Linked DNA regions of Schizosaccharomyces pombe. The protein of the gene in region 1 interacts with the protein of each later gene in a biochemical or structural test. Each region holds a gene or a part of one and is shown in the gene's direction. Other genes may lie near its edges. The genes, in order: cdc12, act1 and cdc3.

Region 1 (8,704 bases):
TAATATATACGATATCCTTATTTAGTTTTCGTAGTGAATACATATTAAGGGCGAGGCTCTTTTTCACCGACATATATTTAATTTAAAGAAATTTTTATTGTAGATACTAGTTTATGATTTTTGGAAGACTACAAGTAGTAAAATTAAAACTTACCTAACTATTTTAAAACTACATTTTCGTAGTCCATTTAGAAATTATGTATACCTTAATTAGCTACTACATAGTAAGATTGCTCAGTATTGATTTTGTTTACCAAGCTTTTCATCGTTCATTCTTTTTTTTAGCCGATTTCATGCATCATCTTCGAGAGTATCTAAATTAAATGTTTAAATCCACCCACAAATTATTTTTATTTGTAAGATATTAATCAATTGGACATTTGCAATAAAATTATCTATTTATGTGCTGATTTTACATTCGTTAAAACATATAATGTAGTTCATGGTCGTGTTATTAATCACTTTAGACAGTTTAGCGAGTTGGCGTCTTTATGAAATCCGCGTCGCCAGATATTAAGCCGTTCTTGGCATCATAATAATGGCTAAACTTTTTTATTAATTACTTTTATTGAAATTTTTTGAATTCAAATGCCAAGGTTCTTTAAAATTTAGAGATTAAGTAGTACATAAAGAAACGCGAACTCTCGATTCATCATGTGGTCAAAGTTATCGATTTCTTCAAAAATTAATCGTATTCGCGACCCTGAAAGCGATAATACGATTGAAGATACTCACGTTGCTCGTGTAATGAGAAAATACTATATGGACAAAATTGGGACATTACCTGAATGGCTTCGTCCTCCTGGATGGCAGCCTCCAGTTAACACAGGACCTACTTCCCCAGTTAGCATAAATGCAAGTAATGCGGCTCCTTCAAATTTAAAAGCTTCATATATTCCGGCCAATCCTAGGAGGCTATCGTCCTCCACTTCCTCTGCTTCGTCTCCCCCTTTACGACGATTACCTTCTGTTCAACATAGTACCTTTGACGATTTGTTTGAAGGTGTCGGAAGTCTTCAAAAATCACCTTCCACCACGAAACCTCTTTCCTCTACACCTTCCGGCTCATTGCTACGGTCAAAATTTGATCACACTAGAAAGAAGTTTTAGTTGACACAACGATACCTTTACTTTACTCTCATTGGTATCTGTTAATGGCGTATTAATGATCAAAACGACTTTTTGTTTCTTTGAAAATGCTGTTACTACGTATGTGTTATTCTCAACCTCGTTTGTTAATAACTAAGCCCATCTTACCCAGAAGTTCGACATTTGTCAGTACAGAGGCATAATTACTTATTTTACAACTTTGAGTTAGCTCACCTTTTCTGGTTTTTCCTTTAGTAATTATTTTTGGAATGACCTGACAATAAGGTGCACTATCCTAAGCAACTCGCCTTTAGTTTGAGAACTATCATTTAGTCTAATTAAATAACCATCACATGTTCTTTATGTTTCTAACCGGATTGTAGCTTTAAAAATTAAACTGTTCAAAAAGCGCTTGGTAGAATTAAAGCTAGTAGCTGAAATCAATTCAACATTATAAAAACTTATCGTTACATACAGCGCATCGTATAGGTTTCTTTAATTTCTAACTCGAACACTTAGGGACGAATTGTGAAAATTCGTTATTGTAATTTAATATGGTATGTAAATAAAAGCACCAATGGATTCGTTCTTGTGATTCTCGTTTATTTGCAAATTTCTGGTTATATTTAGCTCAACGTGACAACAAAATATGTTACGAATGCTTTGTAAGTAAAAATGATCTTCACGAATGTATTTTCTCATTGAACAACGTTTTAAGCAACCAGAAACCGCATCCAAATGCAGACTAGACTTACAAGACGAGAATTTCGATTATCCTAAAAATAAAATTTAATACGCTATAACGCAATTTAACCATTATAATATTAGATATATCGAAGTTTCATTTCCTTTCAACTTACTTGTTCGCAAGTATACGTATTATCTTAGATCATTTAAGCCATCCCAACCCTTACTCGCTAAGTGTTCCACTTTATCCAAATTTGAAGGTCAACAAGTTCTGAACATCAACTTTTAGCAAATTTAAAAAAAAGGTTTAATTGAGCTAAAACTTTTCATCACAGTTTCCTTGTTAATACTTGAAAACAAGATCCTGAAAGCAATTACAATGCTGCATTCGTTTATGAAGTAGAGATGCGAAATTCGTCAAAGGGACAGGACCCTAATTTTTCTTATGACTCTATTCTGTCTACTCCAACTCCATCAGCCAGAAGAACTATTGGGCCAAGGGCTCCTAAGTCCAAAACAACGTACCATAAACCTCCATCATCCATAGAATCAGTATCGACGTTAATCCAGCCTAATAAGTCCCAATCAGTTACTTCTCCGTATGTAAAGCAATTTACCTTTTCATCGAAAGAGTACAATTCTCATAATAAACATGCTTTGCAAAATTCCCAGCTTCCTTTACCTAAAACACCCGAGAAATCTACTGTCCATCGACCCAAAGCGAATAAAGTTGAAGTCACTGATCTACCATCTTCGTCTTCCGTTGAACATTTGCACACTTCTAAACATCTCAAGGGTCCTAGGTTGCCCAAAAACATTATTAAAAGTTCTGAGGATGTCCAAATTGCTCCAGTGACACCCCCTGTACATTCTCGCTCTTTTGATCCTTTGCCGAAACCTCCTGTTCCCTCAGTTCCAGTATCTAAGACAAAAAGGCGAACTAAGCATAAACTTGCTCCTGTTGTTGAAGTCCCTGAGATTACCAACGAGGTTTCCCCAAAATTCACTTCTACTAATGATGAACAAGTTTATCGACTACGTTCAATTCGAGCTGGGAGCCCTAATTCGGTATGCTCGTTTCAGTTTGAAATTCCGAGTACTCGACCACCTTCATTGGATCAGCTAATACATCTATTCAACGATTTTTTAAGACACCCTGTATTTGATTTTGACGAAAACGCCATTGAAATGCTTCAAAGTTGTACTCCAGATGAAAAGTGGTGTTTTATTCGTTCTAACTTCGCCGGGTTTGATGATCCTTCTTTCCAAATTCCAGAATTAGCTGCCGTCCATAGACCTGTTTCCTGGTTCGTAATCCAACTATGGAATAAAACAATTAGTAATTTACAACTTATCACACTTTCTTCTTTATTATCAACTCAATCCGATCGATGGATATCTCTTTTTCTTGAACTGCAGGGACTTCGAGCTTTGCATAATCTACTTACATATTTTAATTCGTCTGCCGTAGTGCAGCCTCAGCAAGCTGAAGTTCCTCGTTGCATGCTTACTCTTTTGAAGAAAAAACCTACTCTGGTTACTTCCAATTCTTATATATTTCAAGCAATAACAGTGACCCTTATATCCCCAAATTTGCTTCCGAGGAAAGTAGCCGCAGATTTATTGACATGGGTTCTGTCTTTAAAGGAACCTCTTGTGGTCTCCATATTGGAAACTGGATTTAAAGAAATAAATGCCGAATATGAAAAGGAGGTTCCGCTATTCTTTGGATGGATAAAATCTTTCAAAGACATAATCTTGGAAAAAGAATTAGCACGAACCCCTCCATCTTCTCCTGCTCGAAATTCTGCTTCCAGCTCACCTTCAAACATAGCGTTTCTTGAGTATTGTACTTCCACTATGGAATTTATCAATCAGCTAATTGTTGCTTGCGAAGAATTGGAGCAAGGATTTGACCTTGATATATTGGATTCCCTTCGTGAATCAGGTATACACGAAGTTATACAACTTCTACGTAACTTTCCTGACCAACAACTTGAGAAACAACTAAACATATATGAATCAGAAGAAGAGAGGAGGACTATAAGTCAGACCACGCATGAAGATGTCGATTCCTTTATGTCAAATGAATCCTCAATTTTAAGTAGCTTCAATGAATTTGCATCAAATGAAGTTGGCCGTTTACTTGAATCAACTATTCAAAACATACTACTTGCCAAAGGTACTGAAAAGCAAAAGGTGAAACTTATCAAGGTTTTTAACTCTTTACTTCAAAGAATACTGCTCAATTCAAAAGTATCCAATGAAAGTTTTGAAGATAGTTTACAGGCATCTTTAAATATGCTAACCGAAAGATTCTATTCGGATGACACAGCCAGAAATGCTTTGAAGGAAGCAAAGGCGTCACGTGCAATGGCTGAGAAAATGGTTATTGAAAGAGATGCAATGGCTGCGCAAGTAAATCTGGGTGCCGAAGACTTAATTGCGAAGTTAAACAAAGAAGTAGAGGATCAGAAAGACGTTATTCTTTCTCAGAAAAGAACGAATGAGACTCTAAAAACAGAAATTGATGCTCTCCAAAAGTCTCATGTTACTCAAATCCAAAGGAGCGAAGTGGAATTACGAGAATTGTATCTTCTTATCAATTCGGATTCTTTTCAGGGCTCAACTAATTCCAAGGAAAGGATTATAGAATATTTGTTGGATAAGCTTGACTTGAGGAAAAAGGAAATTGCTGCAGAGTCAACACTTTGGTCAAACGATGGAATTGATGACAAACTTCGGGATCTAAGGGAGCAAATGTCTCGACAGTCCAGCCAGCCCTCAACTGTGTCAACTATTTTACAAATTCCTGATAAAAAATTTCATCGTCCATTCCCTCGTCATTTACATCGATATGTTGGTCGTTCAGCTTCTGAATCGTTAACCAGTGAAAAGGATGAGTCCATCAAAAGTATGAAAGGAATTGATGACTTTGCGAACTTGGAGATTCCGGGAAAGGGTATTGAGTCAAACGTCGTAATAAAGGATATTTCAAATCAAACGCATGAGATTAATAGCGTTGAGAACAAAGCAGAAACAGTTAGCAACAATAGTAAAATTACGAACTTTGATATTCCTAATGATGCAACTTCTTTACCAACGATAATTACACATCCAACTCCACCACCACCTCCTCCTCTTCCTGTTAAAACTAGTTTAAATACCTTTTCCCATCCTGATTCTGTGAACATCGTTGCTAATGATACATCGGTTGCTGGGGTTATGCCTGCTTTTCCACCACCACCACCACCTCCTCCTCCCTTAGTAAGTGCAGCTGGAGGTAAATTCGTATCCCCAGCTGTTTCAAATAATATATCAAAAGATGATTTGCATAAGACTACTGGTTTGACTCGTCGACCAACTCGTCGTTTGAAGCAAATGCATTGGGAGAAGTTGAATTCTGGGCTGGAATTTACATTTTGGACGGGACCTTCTGACGAGGCCAACAAAATTTTGGAAACCTTGCATACATCAGGGGTCTTAGATGAATTAGATGAAAGTTTTGCGATGAAGGAAGCAAAAACATTGGTCAAAAAAACATGTGCTAGAACTGATTACATGAGTAGTGAACTTCAGAAGCTTTTTGGTATTCACTTTCACAAGCTGTCTCACAAAAATCCGAATGAGATCATTCGCATGATTTTACATTGTGATGATAGCATGAACGAGTGTGTTGAATTTTTATCAAGTGACAAAGTACTAAATCAACCTAAATTAAAAGCAGATTTGGAGCCTTATCGTATTGACTGGGCAAATGGTGGTGATCTAGTTAATAGCGAAAAGGATGCTTCAGAGCTTAGTCGTTGGGACTATCTTTATGTGAGACTTATAGTTGATCTTGGGGGTTATTGGAACCAAAGAATGAATGCACTAAAAGTTAAAAACATAATCGAAACCAATTATGAGAACCTTGTTCGTCAAACAAAACTTATAGGGCGGGCTGCTCTTGAGCTTCGGGACAGCAAAGTTTTTAAAGGTTTGCTATATTTAATTCTATATTTAGGAAACTATATGAACGATTATGTGCGCCAAGCTAAAGGATTTGCCATTGGTTCACTTCAAAGACTTCCATTGATAAAAAATGCCAATAACACTAAAAGTTTACTTCATATACTTGATATAACTATTAGGAAGCATTTTCCTCAGTTTGACAACTTTTCCCCTGAACTATCAACCGTCACTGAAGCAGCCAAACTGAATATTGAAGCGATTGAACAAGAGTGCTCCGAGTTAATTCGTGGTTGTCAGAATTTACAAATAGACTGTGATTCTGGGGCTCTTTCCGACCCTACGGTATTTCATCCTGATGATAAAATCCTTTCAGTTATATTACCCTGGTTAATGGAAGGCACCAAAAAAATGGATTTTTTGAAAGAGCATTTACGTACAATGAATACTACCCTGAACAATGCTATGAGATATTTTGGTGAACAGCCTAATGACCCTAATTCCAAGAACCTGTTCTTTAAACGTGTTGATTCTTTCATAATTGACTACTCTAAGGCTAGATCTGACAACTTGAAATCGGAAGAAGAAGAAGCTTCACAGCATAGACGTTTGAATCTTGTCAACAATCATAAAGAACACGTGCTTGAACGTGCAATGTCTGAAAATAACAAAATGGATAATGAAGCAATGGATGGTTTCCTTGATAAATTGAGAAACGTCAAATTAGAAAGTCACCATAAACCACGAAATAGATCCGCCATTACTATGGGTAAAGAACATTTAATAGAAGCTCCTAACACTTCTACTAAATCTAGTCCTGCAAAAAACGAATTATTTGTTCCTAAGAGATCTTCGGTAAAAAGTGACTTGGCAAAAGTTAGGCCAAGGTATCCTAAGGGTAGTGAATCAACCGATGGATTATCTGACGCATTAAATATTACTCCAACGAAAAAAGGAGAAGTATCTAGCAAAGCTAAAAAGGGATACAACTACGAAAAGCGTCGTTCGGGCCGTCAGGTATCTGATAGCTATGTCCTTAACAAAAATTCGAAGAATAAAAGTAATAAGGGTCGCTCCGCTTCTTACACTTTTTCTGATCCAAGCAGTTTGGAAGATTCTAATAGGCAAAAACCCTTTAATGGTGAGAAATTTCGAAGGTTTAGTTCAAAATCAAGAAGAGGTTCACAAAACCGGGATTCTAAGAAGACGGGTAAAGCTCGAAAGGATAAAGGTATAAACAATAACCAGACAAGCCCTCAGAATAAACCGTCTAAAGAATCTCTAAAATCTGATACTATTTCAAACGAGAAGAAAGTATTTCCTCAAAAGGCTTCTAAAGTTAATTTGCTTACGCCGACAATTTCAAATGGTACTAGGGCAAGTAAACATGCTAACGAAAAGGAGAATACTTTTCCTCGTGGTGTCGAAAATAATCTGGTTGCTCCCATGATTCCTAATAACACCGAACTTAATGAAGATACCAGCGCTGTCTCTCGGAACTTAGAAAATGCCACCAATGACTTGAAGGAAACTTTTCCGACTACAACTACGATTTCAACAGCCAGAGCTAAACCTGGTAACAATGATATTAACACTATTTTACGAAGAAACAATAGCCGTGGCCGTCGACGCATGTTGCAGCAAATGAGTCCTTTGAAAAGCAATAAATTTTCGGGAACTAATGATTTGAATTTTCAACAAGCTACTAAACCAGACGGCAGCAATAAGTCCTCATATATGGAACGTCTGGAAAAATTGAAACAAAACTCTGAACGACATCTTCAATCAGTAGGAGGTAAGAAGGTTTATTCTTCTGAAGAAACGCCCGTCAACAAAATATTAGTATCGCCTTCCGTTTCTATTTTGGATCATAACCGAATCTTAAGTCAAAGTACTCCTATCAAATCACCACAACGAGCACAAGAAATGCTTGCAGGTTTATTATCTGGAAAATTGGCGCCTAAGGAGAATGAGAAATAGGTTAATGATGCAATCTTTCTACCATTGCATAATTTTTTTTTCTAATTTTGGAAGTTAGTTTAGTTGGAAGATTGCCCTTTTTTTGAAGTGTGTATCATGTTCATCATTTTTAATAGAAAGAGCTGGCTCGTTTGACATTTTGTCATATTTCTTTAAAAATCTTCTTATGAGTATGTAAATATAATGATTTAAATCCCTATTCTATTTATCATAATGTCTGTTGCGCAAATTGATGTAGAACTCTGTAAAATTTTTCAATCTGAAGTAAAATAGGACTAATGTTAAGATGAAAATCGTTTAGAAATCATTCGATGTGTGCTAATGTTTCTTCGTTTCTTTTATAAAGTGACGAATCATTGGCGAAGACTCACTATTTAAATATTGCTCAATTATATTTTCGGTGTAATTAACTTGTTACATTTTCTAAGGCAAATACATTGTGCTGTTGCAGAACTGTCTTTTCGAGAAACATACTCTGATTGATGTATCGTTGGTAGAATGGTAGAACACGAGCATGCATTAAGTCAAACATTCTACAAAATGAAATTTCAATTATTTTTATACACATGTTGTTTTTCGAGAAGTCTAAAATTAGTCTACGCTCGAGTAGTAGCATGTATAATTCAGTAAATAGCATAACTATTAACTATTGAGATTGTTTATGTGCTTAATCTTTTTTTATAATTTAACTAGTGCTCATTGAAATAGATTGACGACGAGCTTTTTAAACGCTTTAACTACCAACTTGCGCTGACCACTCACTATTGGTTTTAAGTTCAACGGATTTAGAAGATTAGCGCGCACATCTTGACCACCGAACTACCCAACACCAACGTTGTGAAAATTTTAAATTCGTAATCTTTCTTTGAAAATTGGAATTATTGGTATATAATTAAATTTCAGAGTCTACATTACTTGGTTTAAATTTAAACCGAGTTTTAGAAATAACAATGAGCAATTCTCGAAACATTGTAATTGTCGGTGGTATGTGACTTTA
Region 2 (3,978 bases), on another chromosome or scaffold:
ACATGGGATTCAACAGATTTGGTCTGCAATCCTCTGGTCATGGGGAGATCTATTATCGAAGAAAGATTTGACTCAAAATGTGGGGCCTGGCATTTTTGCAGGGGGACTTATCGCCTCTTTCATTTGCTTCGGGCTTTCCTACGTAACATTCGCAGGTTTACCTGCTTTTTATCGCCAAGCTCCTTCTATCATTCCAGCGTTTTATCGTTCATTAGGAAAACGAAATATTGTAATTTGGTTTTTTATCTCTCAAATTTTAATCAATTACTGGCTTGCTGTCCCTTATGGCCAGGCTTGGAGGTTTTTCTGGAATACTAGCAACACTCCTTTGTGGAGCATAATCATTCTTTTACTCATTTTCTTCATCGTGGTTTGGGCCGTTCTCTTATCAGTTATAAAGATTTTGTCTCTTAATAACGTTTGGTTTCCAGTGATATTTGGATTGGGCCTCATTTGTCCACGCTGGTGCTTAGAGTTTTGGTCATCCTCGGGTCTCGGAATTAATTTACCATGGGCTGGTAAGGCTTCTGCCTTGCTGACGAAGTCAGTATGGCTTTTGCTAGCTCTATGGGACGGGATACAGGGAGTCGGTGTCGGTGTAATGTTACTGCAAACCCTGGCGAGAGATCATGTTGCTTTCACGTTGATGCTAGCGCAAGTTATAAGTTGTATTACAATTATGATCGCAAAACCTTCTCTGCCTGTAAGTGATCGAGTATTCCCAAATCTTGGTGCATGGAATCCTAGCGAAGGACCGGGACCTTGTGCATCACCTTGCTTTTATATTGCACTAATATGTCAATTTGTAGCTGTTGGAGGATTGCTCTATCACTATCGTAAAAGTCAGCTTGCTCTTTAGTGTTTGATCTACGATAATGAGACGGTGTTTGGGTTGTTTTTACTGAATTTTTCTTTTATTTTATGACATCTTAATTTTTATGTTAATGATTATTCTTATACTTTTATCTATCTTTGATTAAAACTAATATTCATTCTTTTGATCACTAATTATTTTTATAGTATACGATTCAACCCAACTATAATACATTGTATCAAGAGAAATTTTTAATTAGATGTAATTTAATAGCCATTTGATAAAAAAAAATTACCTTTTTTTTTGCTAGTGTTAAATTATTGATCATAACAATGTCGAATGAATACTAATAAAATAGGGACACGCGAGTTGCAAATACTTGAAATACCTTTGAAGATTTGTCTGTGAATTTTGATAAGATTTTTATGACCATCTCTTTTATATTCGATATCGTGAACTTTCATTTTCTTTTGTTTTTTGCTTTTCAAGTTAAATAACGCGGAAATTATATTTCCTTATATGTTTATAAGAGCTTTTAAAGGATTTGCTATATCGCTTACAGTACTACAACCGGTTGCTCAATGTTATCCGTTTCCGCGGTCTTCTTCCGTGCGCATTCTGCCGTGAAGTGCTAACGCTGTGTGTGGCTTTATCAAAAAAGTGGCTCAAATATAGCAATTTCATACATATTTAAACACCCATTATACTTAAATGTATATTTTAAAATATATAAGAGATTTTCACTGTATAACTGTGTATCTTATCTATATGTAATCAACGGCTTCATACCACCTCAGCCAGCCGTGTTATAACTTACCGTTTACCAACTACATTTTTTGTAACGAACCAAAAAACCCTCAAAAGACAAGACCATGGAAGAAGAAATCGCAGCGTTGGTTATTGATAATGGCTCTGGTATGTGCAAAGCCGGTTTCGCTGGAGATGATGCCCCTAGAGCTGTATTCCCCTCGATTGTCGGTAGACCCCGTCACCATGGTATTATGGTAGGTATGGGACAAAAGGATTCCTACGTTGGTGATGAAGCTCAAAGCAAGCGTGGTATTTTGACCTTGAAGTACCCCATTGAGCACGGTATTGTCAACAACTGGGATGATATGGAAAAGATTTGGCATCACACTTTCTACAACGAGCTTCGTGTTGCTCCTGAGGAGCACCCTTGCTTGTTGACTGAGGCTCCTTTGAACCCCAAATCCAACCGTGAGAAGATGACTCAAATTATTTTCGAAACCTTTAATGCACCTGCCTTTTATGTTGCTATTCAAGCTGTTTTGTCTTTGTATGCCTCTGGTCGTACCACTGGTATCGTCTTGGACTCTGGTGATGGTGTTACCCACACTGTTCCCATTTATGAGGGTTATGCTCTTCCTCATGCTATCATGCGTCTTGATCTCGCCGGTCGTGACTTGACTGACTACCTTATGAAGATTCTCATGGAGCGTGGTTATACTTTCTCTACTACCGCCGAACGTGAAATTGTTCGTGACATCAAGGAGAAACTTTGCTACGTCGCTTTGGACTTTGAGCAAGAACTTCAAACTGCTGCTCAATCTTCCTCCCTTGAGAAATCTTATGAGCTTCCTGATGGTCAAGTTATCACTATCGGAAACGAGCGTTTCCGTGCCCCTGAAGCTCTTTTCCAACCCTCAGCTTTGGGTCTTGAAAACGCCGGTATTCATGAGGCTACTTACAACTCTATCATGAAATGTGATGTTGATATTCGTAAAGATTTGTACGGTAACGTTGTTATGTCTGGTGGTACCACTATGTATCCCGGTATTGCCGATCGTATGCAAAAGGAGATTCAAGCCCTTGCTCCTAGCTCCATGAAGGTCAAGATTGTTGCTCCTCCTGAGCGTAAATACTCTGTCTGGATTGGTGGATCCATTCTTGCTTCTCTTTCTACTTTCCAACAGATGTGGATCTCCAAGCAAGAGTATGATGAGAGCGGACCTGGTATCGTTTACCGTAAGTGCTTCTAAGCTCCTCTTACTTTTTGTAACGTTTTTTACATACTTTTGAATAACATCGATTCTTCTGATATATATAAATTTCAATCTTTTTTTACCTATTTAACCACCTTTTTCCGCTCTTAACATCTCATGAGGAACTTTGGGTATCAATTATTGGAGTGTTTTATATACTTTCTGATTACTATCGTTTTCTTGCTCTGTTTTCTTTTTTTCATTATAGACGAATGCAGAGCTAGCCTTTTACATATTGAAGTTACAGAAATATTTCCAGTAGATACCTATGATGTTACTTCATTCGCTTATAACTTCCCGTTTTCTTTAACATGTTTCTTCTCGAGTCCGGCCGATTATTTTTGTCGATATTTTCGTTATGTTTATCGCTGTGATTATCGATTAAAGAACTGTAGTAAATGAATTTTACTTACTCCCGTTAATTTTTACGAATTTTATTTTGTACAAGGTGGTAACTGCGAGATAGTTAGAAGCGGAAGTGGTGCAATGTACTTCATCAGCCATTTCTTTTCGTCCTGTAGAGTTGTATCATCTTCAGTACTGATTTAATTGGTACCTGAACTTGTATAACTTTGAAGCCAAATGGTTGAATGTGTTTTACATTAGTATTAGCAAAAGTTTATTAGGTCAAAAAAAGATTTAATACATACATGGTATATGATCATTGTTGGATAGTATAGTTGAGGTAAAATTCTTATAAATTGTAAGACATTGGTATGATTAGTGTTCTTCAAATATAAAAAGAGAGGAAGTAGTGAATTATGAAGCTGTAGGAGATGGAGCCCGATTAGCCAGTTGTATAGTTGAGCGATTAATATATAGTGACAAAGTAATTTGGACTGACGACGCCTCTCTGTATAAACAAATCCAATGATATTACATTCCTATGACTTTATTTAGAATTGTTTCGTCAACATATATTATTACAAGAGATTATTATTTTTTTTTGTAGTATTATGATAATATTAAAACCATTGTTCAAAGAATAAGAGAAAAATGTTAACCATATTAAATAAAATAAGTTGCTGCTGAAACATGGAAAGAAAAGATCCATCGAAATTTGCAGAACATGTATGAAAAAGGATGGCCAAGACCCGGTGCCTGAACTCGTGACAGAGTATAGACGCATTAAAACGAACGTTAAATGATGTTGATGAAAAA
Region 3 (3,601 bases), 2.3 Mb from region 1:
AATTACTCCTCGTGCCACGACTACGACTCCTGATATTTTAATCCATTCCCTATGTGTCTATCTTTATAATAATGGTGTCAGTTTACTTCGTACCCGTGCTATGCTGTGTCATATTTATCATGAAGCATTGCAAAATCGTTTTTACAAGGCTCGTGATATGTTACTTATGTCGCATTTACAAGATAGCGTGCATGCTGCCGACATTGCTACTCAAATTTTACACAATCGCACTATGGTTCAAATTGGTTTGTGTGCTTTCCGCAACGGTATGGTTCAAGAAACACAGTATGCTCTTCAAGACATCTCTACTACTGGTCGTGTAAAGGAACTCCTTGGACAAGGCATACAAGCACCAAAGTTTGGACAATTTACACCTGATCAGGATCGTTTGGATAAGCAGTTGGTTTTACCTTTCCATATGCACATAAATCTAGAACTGCTTGAATGTGTTTACTTGACTTGTTCTATGTTGATGGAGATTCCCGCAATGGCAGCTGCTAGCTCTACTGCTTCAGATTCTAGAAAGCGTGTAATCAGCCGACCCTTCCGTCGTATGCTTGAATACATTGATCGTCAGCTTTTCGTTGGTCCTCCTGAAAATACCCGCGAGTATATAATGCAAGCTTCGAAAGCATTGGCAGATGGTGAATGGCGTCGTTGTGAAGAATTTATTCATGCTATTAAGATTTGGAGCTTAATGCCTGATGCTGACAAAATTAAGCAAATGCTTAGTGAGAAGATTCGGGAAGAGGGACTACGTACATACTTATTAGCATATGCTGCTTTTTACGATTCTGTTTCTCTTGAATTTTTGGCTACGACATTTGATCTTCCTGTTCAGCGTGTTACTGTTATTGTTTCTCGGTTATTATCTAAACGTGAGATCCATGCTGCTCTTGATCAAGTTCACGGTGCCATCATTTTTGAACGTGTTGAGATTAACAAGCTGGAAAGCTTGACTGTTTCTCTTAGCGAGAAAACTGCACAATTGAATGAGGCAAATGAAAAGCTATATGAGCAGAAGACCCAACACACTAATCCTCAGGAGAACAGACGTCGTGATAAGGGTGGCTCGGTTAAAAGACGCAATGAACGCACCGAAAATCGGAATCGTTCAGACATGAATTAAAGTTGTTGTGCATCGGTGAAAAATAGGGCGATCTAATTTCAATAAAATGAATGACTATTTGTCTTTGAAGAAAGTATTTAACTATCAGGTGGTTTCCATAGATCAATAGACATCTGAGTTACTTCATAGTGGTTTTGTTACAAACGTTAATCGGAAATAATGTAGTTTACCGTTTGGTAATTATCTTCAATTGTAAAGATACTTTGCTTCGAAAGTCTGAATCTGTTGACCATTATACACGTTTACAGTAAGCTATTTCTGCAAGCTTTGTTCTTCAGTTTCATATGGTCGCCTTTTTTCCATCGACTGAAAACAGACATGATGTGTGTAATCGAATTTTTGGTCGCTAGTACGAGCTCAATCTATCGGTGTATGGTTTGAAGTTGTTTTCTTTAAAAAATCTATTACTGAACGAAGTATCTCTAATTGTGTTGTTGAACCTCTAAACAAGAGTTCTGAAATTCTATTGAATACTTCTGAAGTCGTATTAAGCATAACAATCCTTACACAATACATTCACACGATCTTGAATGGTAAACCTCTAACGAAGTCAACTGCGATAAGTTTCATATTATTTCTAAAAATGAGGGAAACTTTATAAGAATTTTTTTATCAATGTTAGAACGTCTTAGAGCACCTTAAATTGGTCATAGGTTTCAAACGCATGTAGAACGGGTAGCTGCTACTTTCCGTCACCCTACTACTACAAGTTTTCCTATCTCTAAACCCAGATTTGCAAAAATGTCTTGGCAAGGTTTGTATATCCTCTAGATATTATTACGAATAATATCTAACTTATTTAGCTTACGTTGATACTTCTTTGCTCGGTACTGGAAAAATCGATCGCGCTGCTATCGTCTCTCGTGCTGGTGACAGTGTTTGGGCTGCTTCTGCTGGATTCAATCTTTCTCCTCAGGAAATCCAAGGCCTTGCCGCTGGTTTCCAAGATCCACCTAGTATGTTTGGCACTGGTATCATTTTAGCCGGTCAAAAATACATCACTATTCGAGCTGAAGGACGTTCTATCTATGGTAAATTACAGAAAGAGGGCATTATTTGTGTAGCTACTAAGCTTTGCATTTTGGTTTCTCACTACCCTGAAACAACCCTTCCAGGAGAAGCCGCCAAGATTACTGGTAAGTTTTTCTCAGTTTACTATTCTTAATTAGCACAATTATTAACAACGCAATAGAGGCTTTAGCTGATTATCTTGTTGGTGTTGGGTATTAGATTTTGACATGACAATCAATATTACTGCTATTTCATTTAAATTATCAGATAAAAGTAGTTTTGGATCCTTTCTCATTTTTGAACAGGTTTCTGTTAGTAGGATGTATATCGTTTGTAGAAGATTGCCATGTGTAAATAACAAATGTTAAACTTTTTACTTTCCGTTTGCGAAATAATATTGCGTACAAATTAAAAGCAGTGCAAACATTTTAACTACTAACTTGAGCCAAATTACATTATATGTAAATAAACACAACAATATTTAGATATTTATCTTTTCGCAAAAAAGAGGGTTTGAATAGGAAGAAGTCAGTTCATTAAGTGGAGGGTAACGTGATAGATTTATCTACATAAGCAATTGCAAAAAATCAAGTACTACATATACTTATAAAAATTATTTTACAATGATCCATACACTAGACAAGCCAACAATCTTGACTGTGTAAAAATTCTTTGCAAAAAAAGTGCTCCCGGCGAGGATCGAACTCGCGATTTCCACGTAACACACCTCCTAAGGGGAGTATCATATAAGCATGAGGCCTTAACCAGCTTGGCCACGGGAGCTGTTGCTTGATTTGTAGCAAACTATATAGTATATATAGTGTGTTTCGCAAAGTTGAAAATATGACAAAAAAATAAAAACAAGTTGTAAACAAATGTATTGTTAAGAAGTTAAACGACATTTTCTTTTAATCTTTTGAGATTCTTTTTTTTTTTTTTTTTTTTTAATAAAACTTTGGTTTTTGATAGTTCATTTGAAGAAACTCAGCTTTTCTGAATTTAACAAATTATGTTTGCAATTTACTTACATTATTAAGTGTTTTGGTATATTAAAATGCCAATGAAAGAGTTGAACTGGCCTAATAAATTTTAAAGTAACTTCTAAATTGCTACCAATTTTTAATTATTATTTTTTTTAATATTTTTATGCATTAATAAAACGTGAAAACCCTCGAATTTAAAGAAGTCCCACAATACGGGCAACTATATTTGTTACAAAATAGTGCTACTTCTTAAATTAGGTAAATAATTAGCGTACAGATTTTTCTATTCATTGGTAGACATTCTTCACACCAAGGTAAGAAACAGTGATATTAAACAAAACGTTACTTTTTGATATCCTATAACTTTGACTCAAAACCAAGTCTTCTAGAGCAGCATATTGTAGTTAAAATAACTAATTAAATTAACATGATAAATAAAGTAGTACGAAAATTTTAGAACGCTTTCTTAAACAAGAAG

Evidence for each region.
Region 2: the proteins of cdc12 (region 1) and act1 form a complex in vitro, tested with the Schizosaccharomyces pombe proteins (one study listed by BioGRID).
Region 3: the proteins of cdc12 (region 1) and cdc3 form a complex in vitro, tested with the Schizosaccharomyces pombe proteins (2 studies listed by BioGRID).

What each region holds. Positions count from the first base shown.
Region 1 is NC_003424.3:281,295-289,998, forward strand, and holds cdc12 (cytokinetic formin Cdc12), read left to right. Parts: upstream 1-2,049; 5' UTR 2,050-2,181; coding exon 2,182-7,707; 3' UTR 7,708-7,906; downstream 7,907-8,704. Other genes in the region: exocytic docking protein Mso1, read left to right, coding at 655-1,110; SPOM_SPAC1F5.03C (FAD-dependent oxidoreductase), read left to right, coding at 8,658-8,691. UniProt on the Schizosaccharomyces pombe protein: Plays a role in the cell cycle. Involved in cytokinesis. Component of the cell division ring. In the absence of profilin, caps the barbed end of actin filaments, thus preventing subunit addition and dissociation.
Region 2 is NC_003423.3:1,474,985-1,478,962, reverse strand, and holds act1 (actin Act1), read left to right. Parts: upstream 1-1,629; 5' UTR 1,630-1,686; coding exon 1,687-2,814; 3' UTR 2,815-3,478; downstream 3,479-3,978. Other genes in the region: spore wall alpha-1,3-glucan synthase Mok12, read left to right, coding at 1-859. UniProt on the Schizosaccharomyces pombe protein: Actins are highly conserved proteins that are involved in various types of cell motility and are ubiquitously expressed in all eukaryotic cells.
Region 3 is NC_003424.3:2,577,748-2,581,348, reverse strand, and holds cdc3 (profilin), read left to right. Parts: upstream 1-1,823; 5' UTR 1,824-1,870; coding exon 1,871-1,883; intron 1,884-1,932; coding exon 1,933-2,265; intron 2,266-2,321; coding exon 2,322-2,359; 3' UTR 2,360-2,393; downstream 2,394-3,601. Other genes in the region: tif303 (translation initiation factor eIF3c), read left to right, coding at 1-1,129; SPOM_SPAC4A8.14 (ribose-phosphate pyrophosphokinase), read right to left, coding at 3,577-3,601. UniProt on the Schizosaccharomyces pombe protein: Binds to actin and affects the structure of the cytoskeleton. At high concentrations, profilin prevents the polymerization of actin, whereas it enhances it at low concentrations. By binding to PIP2, it inhibits the formation of IP3 and DG.